Bombyx mori: one gene and its partner. The protein of the gene in region 1 interacts with the protein of each later gene in a pairwise test. Links are inferred from orthologs where the notes say so. Each region holds a gene or a part of one and is shown in the gene's direction. Other genes may lie near its edges.

The links.
Region 2: the proteins of mediator of RNA polymerase II transcription subunit 8 (region 1) and multifunctional methyltransferase subunit TRM112-like protein interact in binary tests that used the Drosophila melanogaster proteins (3 or more experiments, as listed by UniProt). The link is inferred for Bombyx mori from reciprocal best matches to the Drosophila melanogaster genes MED8 and Trmt112.

The regions. Positions count from the first base shown.
Region 1 is NC_085118.1:10,646,043-10,650,441, reverse strand, and holds the start of mediator of RNA polymerase II transcription subunit 8, read left to right. Parts: upstream 1-1,385; 5' UTR 1,386-2,086; coding exon 2,087-2,260; intron 2,261-2,564; coding exon 2,565-2,810; intron 2,811-3,397; coding exon 3,398-3,494; intron 3,495-4,399. Other genes in the region: uncharacterized protein LOC134199859, read right to left, coding at 1-1,073. UniProt on the Drosophila melanogaster protein: Component of the Mediator complex, a coactivator involved in the regulated transcription of nearly all RNA polymerase II-dependent genes.
Region 2 is NC_085117.1:12,729,441-12,732,487, reverse strand, and holds multifunctional methyltransferase subunit TRM112-like protein, read left to right. Parts: upstream 1-1,608; 5' UTR 1,609-1,794; coding exon 1,795-2,172; 3' UTR 2,173-2,537; downstream 2,538-3,047. Other genes in the region: DIS3-like exonuclease 2, read right to left, coding at 1-455.

The DNA.
Region 1 (4,399 bases):
TCCCGTGCATGTCCAAACCGTTTGCAGTAGGAGCACACTGGACGCTGTTTCTTCGTGGTCACGAATTGCTCTGCAGAACCTGGCACAGCAGCGGCAGGCGTGGCAACGGTAGGCTGGGCGACAGCGACAGGCACAGCGGTGGCGGGCACGACGGCCGCGGCGGAGTTTGGAAAGCGCGCGCGCGGCGCCGGGGCACTCGCACGAGCGGCGCACGGTTCAGGCCGACTCGCAGCCTGGGCCGGCTGGGCACGGATCGAACGCACACCACTAGTGGACGACACTGGTCTCGATTGAGTCTCCTCTATCGAATCTTCTATATTCCGAGCATGGTTTAATAATGAATTGAAAGATGTGATTTCTTCACGGCGCAATCTTGTGCGTATTCTATTATGAAGCAACCCGTATATCATATCAAGTTGTACTTTTTCAGCAATATCATCCCGCGGTAGCTTTGCCATAAGCGCACGAATACGAGCAACAAACTTGTCTGTGTTTTCTTTATCCTGCGGGGAAACAAATATTTCCAAATATATTCTATGTGGTGGAAGGCGGGTGCCATATGCATATATTAAATTTTCTTTGGCTTCGTTCCAAGTGGAGATGTGATGCTTTAATCCTAGCCACCACGTAGCTGCGTCAGCAGACAAAAGCATGGCTAGGCCTCGTATGATGTTAGCGTCAGATACTTGAACGCATTCTGTATAACTTTCAATTGCATCTATAAAGGCCTCAACAGATTCACCAGGTGCACCGCTGAAAGAAGCTCTGCAACGCGCCAAGGTACCATCTACGTTCACTGGGGGCATCGGCGGAGGTGCCGGAGTCGACGATCTTTGTTCCATCACGTACGACATAATGTTCTTAAATGTTTCGGCCTGCGAACGTTGCAGCGAGGCCATCAACGCTGAAACATCATCCAAGTTGAACGTAGAATTGTTGCTACGTGATTCGGCGTGGGGGCGATCATGGGGGCTATCATGCTCCTCGTGATTTTCGTTGGCATTTGCATCTGCAGCAGGAATAACGTCGTCTTCGCGACGTTGCTGGCGATCTTGACTTCTAGTTAAAGGCATTCTTTACAATTAAGCACCAACAGCATACAATAGTTAGCAAATTTTTCACAAAAGCGTGCGCGCCATTTTGTTAGTCCAAGCAAGAAAAAAATTAGGAAACGTTGGGCAGCCAGATATAGTGAGGGGTAGATCTCAGGGGTATTTAAAACTATGGGTTAGTCACCAATATCGAATTTCGAATTTTAATCTTCCTTTATAACAAACAATTTTCAATTTTTAAACAATAATTACATTTAGACGCGGGCGCACGCTATTCACACTCAAAACGGAAGCGCCCGGAACATAGATTATACACTGTTACAAGATTGACATAGATACTAACTATGTATAGCGAGCGGGCATACGGCCGCGAGAGTGACGTACCGGTCGGTTTGCTACATATTTAATATTTGTTCAGAGTGGGGGTATTCATCTGATTAATCCATGGAATAACCGACACACCTAATCTCTTAATCCAGATAGAAATATCAGCACTGTCGATTGCACCTATAATTGAGGTGATGTCTGCCATGTACTTTTGTCAGTTTTTCAATTTTTTTTATTGATGATCACTTTGTTGGTGCAACTAAATAAATAAATAAATTAAAACTATATATAAAAATAAAAGTAGTGCCAACCCTAGCAAATTTCTCGTTTCGTCCCAATTAACCGCAATTTTCGGGTAAATAGGGATTACACCTATTTTTGCATTTTTTGCTTAAACTGGAATGCTAGTTGCATAATTTTAAATTAGACAACAAAGATGCCCCCAAGACTCAATCATTTTGATCCTGATTTAGCATTATATACATCAACAACTACCTTAAAATTGCTCATAAAGTTGGAATTTGTCCCTAATCGCCCCATTTTACGGTACGGTAGGTACCGTATGGTACCATTTTGAGATATATTACTTATGTACCCTTAGTCCCTTACGGTTATTTAATAGCTAGGTAAGGTACGGTACCTAAACCTTATTAAAATCTAACAAAGAGAATTAAAAAGTTACAATTGTGTACCTACCATTTACAACAATGAATATGCAGCAGCGAGAAGAAAAGCAACTAGAAGCTACAATAGTTGCGATTTTAAATAGAGTAAATGATTTAAAAACTGCAATACAAGCATTGATAAATAAACTAGAAACGGAATACGAGACAATAAATTGGCCAACTTTTCTAGATAATTACGCGATTTTATCTGGTCACGTAAGTCCAATTGTATATTGAAATTCATAGCATAAATAGTGTGTGTAATAGTCAACAAGTCTACAGAGATGGATTTCAACTTGAAGTAGGAAAGATAATTAATTTATTATTGAAAAAACAGTGAAACAAAAACTGACGAGTTCAAAACTCACTTGATGTAACCTGGTTAGCGTGGTCACTGATATTTATTAGGTATTATCCCATTTTGAGACTTGTTTTCAGATTTAAGTGCATTTGTACATAAGCTTTTCACTTTAAAGATCATGTGTTATTTAGTTAAATTTTATTAACTCTTTATTTTCAGCTGACTGGCCTCAGTAAAATTCTCCAAGCCGAACAAGCAGCTTCATTGCGGTCTAGAATTGTTTTACCACTTCAATTAAGTTGCGAACGTGATGAAACACTGGCTCATTTGACAGAAGGCAGAGTTCCAGCTTGCACTCATGATTTAGTTCCAGATTTACTTCGTACCAAACCTGAACCCCAGGCTGAACAGCGTCTCCAGCAATTTAATCATAAAGCTAGTACTTTAAGCTATGATACAGCACAGGTATAGACAATAATTAACATTTAATTTTAAATATCAGAAACATTTAAAGAAGCATAAGGTTTAATGTACCACAAGGAAAAATATCCATTATAACTATTTGGGCTAATTTTTTATGACATTCTTTGTAGACTTCGCAATCTAAATTAGTTTTCATTGTAAACGGTAAAAAAATAGATATATTTGGGGTTAAAACATGTAATGCACTGTTGAGTGAATAAACCCACAGCTCACTTGAGATATAGTGGCTGGGACCCATAGATATCACAGAGTTAAATCAACCTCTTGCTTTGAGATATTTGGTTGAAGTATGTATCAATTCTTTCTTTTTTTTGTTGTATCACTTGTCAGGGTGGTCATGGTCATCATTCAGTATCATTGCAATCATATCATCATTGAATTCTATTAAACTATGTATAATAAGTTCTTTTATATAATCAAGATTTGTCTGCAAAATTAGCATGATAATCAAGTTGAGTACTTAAGACATGCAATTATAACAAGCTCACTTTCTCATGTAATGTTGTGTAGTTGTTACCTACAATTATATAGATGGATGATGTATGGATTATAATAGTTTTATATTCCAGAAACACATTGCTCAATTCACTAAAGTTGTCAGTCACGTTTGGGAAATTATATCCAAAGGCCGCGAAGACTGGGAAGGAGAGTCAATGAGATCTACAGGTTAGTAAAAGTTACAATAGAAAATTATCATAATTACCTAAACAGTTGACAGATTTTAATAAACATTTCATTCATATTATGTAGTCCATTTTTAACTTCTAGAGGTTGAAAAAAGATGCGGGTCACTGTAGTGAAAAACAATTTGTCTTCAATAAAATTTAGACACACATGCTTATCTTATTTCACCTGACCCAAAACACATGCCCGAAGTCTCAGTTGTATGGCAGGCAGGCATCTTATAATTCAAACTGGCATGCCTGTTTTCTTCATAACAAAAATACTTATACACGTCAGTGACTCAGGATACACTCAGCTACTCACAGTTCTAGACCCCAGTCATTGGTGAATATCTACAGAAAAGACAGGTGGGATTATTCTGACCATTGTACACATATCCTAAGTTATTAGTTCATATAAGGTAGGTATGACTTTACTTTGACAAAGATGAAAGATGCCCACCAGAGATGCCCAAGATTTTGCCCACCACTTAAACAAGTATGATGATAATGCAATTTCACAATACAAGCAGTGCGATTATGGAATTCTCTCCCTCAACCTATTTGTGCTAGTTCCTCTCTAGAAGTTTCTAAGAGTCAAATGAAGAAACATTTCCTGTCACTTTAAAAAAGTGTATTTAAGTTATTGTTTTATGTATGTTTATATGTATTTTTCATTTCATATTAGTTTTTTTTTAAAGCTTAGTTTAAAAATCATGCTTTAATAGATTTTGTATTGTACACTATTCCCCTCTTTATACATTGTATTTCTCTCTGCTAATGGTTTGCTGGAAGAAAACTCATGAATGAGTTAAGCTCGCCTTTGTGCATAGTATTTAGACATTCTTTAAATCTGTTTTTATTGTATTTTCTTTTTGTGTACAATAAGTATAAATAAATAAAATAAAT
Region 2 (3,047 bases), on another chromosome or scaffold:
TGCACAGAGAATGTACTATTTCTAGGAGACCCAAAATAGTTAAATAAATACTGTGAATTTTGTACTCTGTTTGTGTTGTTAAAGTTATTCACTGGTACCGTAGGTATTTCCAACTTTTTTAGTCGTTCCTTTTTCTTGGCGTTTTTTCCTTTCGACGGGGTAGTTGGGGTTACCTGTTCTGTCTCCCCGTTATCACTGTCGCTTTCAATTTGCAAATTCTGGCACTTATTGGAAACATCGTTAATTGATGAATTGTTGAATACCATGGTAGGTACTGTAACTTCTGATCTTTGTTTTTTTTTTGATTTTTTGGGTGTTCGTTTAGGTGAATCGACTTTGTTTTCATTTATTGCTTTGTCACTTGATGTTTTTTGTGGTACTGACGACGTGGAGACCACCGATGTTGTTGGTTCACTGCATGCTGCATCCATTCTTAATGAGTTATGGCTTGACATGGCGCAAAAAAATAAAAACTGTAAAATACTTATAAGCAGGTATGGAGTATTACAAGCCTGCTGCTTTTGTCTATAAATGTGAATGATTACATTTCTCCTCAATATTTACAATAATTTTACACAGAATTATACTCAATTTAATATTTTTAAATATTTATGTACGGCCAACGGCTACAAGACCTTATATCCATTCTAATTTAAAAAATGTAAATATATTTTTTTTCAACAATTTAATATAAATGCTTATCCCTTCCGAATGCAAAGAAAGGTCAAGCTAGTAAATTGACCGTCAGACAGAGCCCACTGAGTTTCTCGCCAGTTCTTTTCAGAGAATCTCGATTCTGGTCCAGTGGTAGATTCAGAGAAGCACCGCTCTAACTAAAGCTAGTGCTAGTAAGTTCTCCATGCTGAGCCTACACGTTCGGTGAACCTGGCTTATCGCCTCGAGGCGCAAAAATTTTGTACCAGTTTTCGAAAAGTAGTAACAATAATAGACTAATAGATTACATTGAAGAGACTCGGGCAAATTACTATTAATCCATTATTTATTTTATTACTTTCTTATTATACTCTGCGCGAGTATCACCTCGAGCTACGACTGAAAAGGTGAACAAGTTACAACTTTTTCGCGGGAACGCGAGGAGTGAAGTTGTGTGATTTGTTTTATTTTGTCTATTTAGTGTTTCTTCAGATTGAAATGCATAATAACGGTGGTTTATTAACTGTTTAGTATCTTTGAAAGTGCACAAATGTGGGAAAATAAAATAAAGCCGCTGGACGTAACTTATCGGGATCATCCAAAACGTCCATTGAAAAAATCTCAGTAAACGACCAACATTTTACTGAGATTATATTTCATCTCATCTCATTTCATTTGATTTCATCCCAGTTGATTAATGTCTCAAATTCTTCATTTCACTCCATATCATCATTTTTCATAAAAATACCCATATCATAATTATCATCTCATCTCATTTCAATTCATTTCATGCCATGCCATTAAATTAATCAGCTTCATTTCATTTCATAATATATTTCATAAAAAAAAAAAAATCTATAACAGACTAGGCTGTATGGTGTGATACCTTTGCCTTTCCATTTGGAAAAATAAAACTACCACTACTTACTGCTGTCAGGTCACTACTCACTACACAACTGAACAAAAACTAAACATAACCTCAAATATCTAATTATGCACGTAAAGTACATAATAACAAATATGTTTTAAGAAAATTCTACAAAAAAGTGCCAATAATCTTAATCGCTTGGTTCTACTCGTGAAAAGCTATTATTGTCAAGACTTCAATTCCTACTGAAGTTGCATAATACAAATATAATAATGAAACTAATTACCCACAATATGCTCACTTCGAAATGCTTGAAAGGTGTTGTGACTGGCTATCCTCTTGCAATTAACGCGACAGACATTAAAGTTAAAGAAGTCGATTTTAATCCTGAATTTATTAGTCGTGTAATACCAAAGCTGGATTGGGAAGTATTATGGGTGGCCGCTGATAGCATCGGCCACAGTGATGGTCTGCCAAGATCTTTAGAAAATAAGTATGATGAAAACGAAGAGTTTTTGAAGAAAGCTCATAAAGTCTTGTTAGAGGTGGAAGTTGAAGAGGGACACTTGACTTGTCCAGAATCTGGAAGACAATTTCCGATTTCTAAAGGAATTCCTAATATGCTATTAAATGAAGCTGAAGTGCAGTAGTTCACAATTTAGAGCCTGTACTAAAAATATTAGTAACAAATTTTTTATTTAAGCATTAATTTTATTGCAGTAACATTACATAGGATTGTTTTATTTTTTATGTAAAGAAGTGCTATGGTGCATGTAAATTTGTTTCATATTAAATATTTTAAGAAATGTACCATTACTTTATAATTTCTACAATATAATTTACTGTGAAAGATTTTTATGTAATCCTTGTATACTAAATTTTAAGTTGCTTAATAGGTAAAATCAGTATGAGGCTGCTTCAGGATTCTTGATAAATATTTGGGGAAAACTTTCTTACGCATATGTTGTATACTAAAAGTATCCTTTCAATAAAGAAAATATTGTTTTTCAATTTATATAATAACTTAACTGAATTATTGAAATGAGGTTATGTACTGTAAACGTGATAACATGTACAAAGCACTGAGGGCACCTTACTTAGAAAATACCAGTGTTCACAGTAGAAAAATGGTGACAATTTCTGACATTATATATTTCCCTATGATACGGTGATTGTATACTGTCAGTCAACGGAACGAATTTCGCCCCAGTAAGAGGACTGAACAGTCCTCGCAGTGTATATTGGAATATAGCCTTTACTGCACACTTTACTCTATTTAAAGCTGCTATATTAATTCAATTACCACTACCTGTACTAATACTATTTTAGTGAGCTTCAAACAATAACCTGCTGTATACAGGCGGACACTTTTTCAACTTGTACCTTAAACAAGATGGTACTTCTTAGTTGTATCCTCAAGGACGTTAATACTGATAACTTCATACTAGTTTAAAAGCTAGGACACTATTGTAAGTAATTGAGACTTCGACCTGTAATAGTATAATTACATCTTTTATGGCTGTAA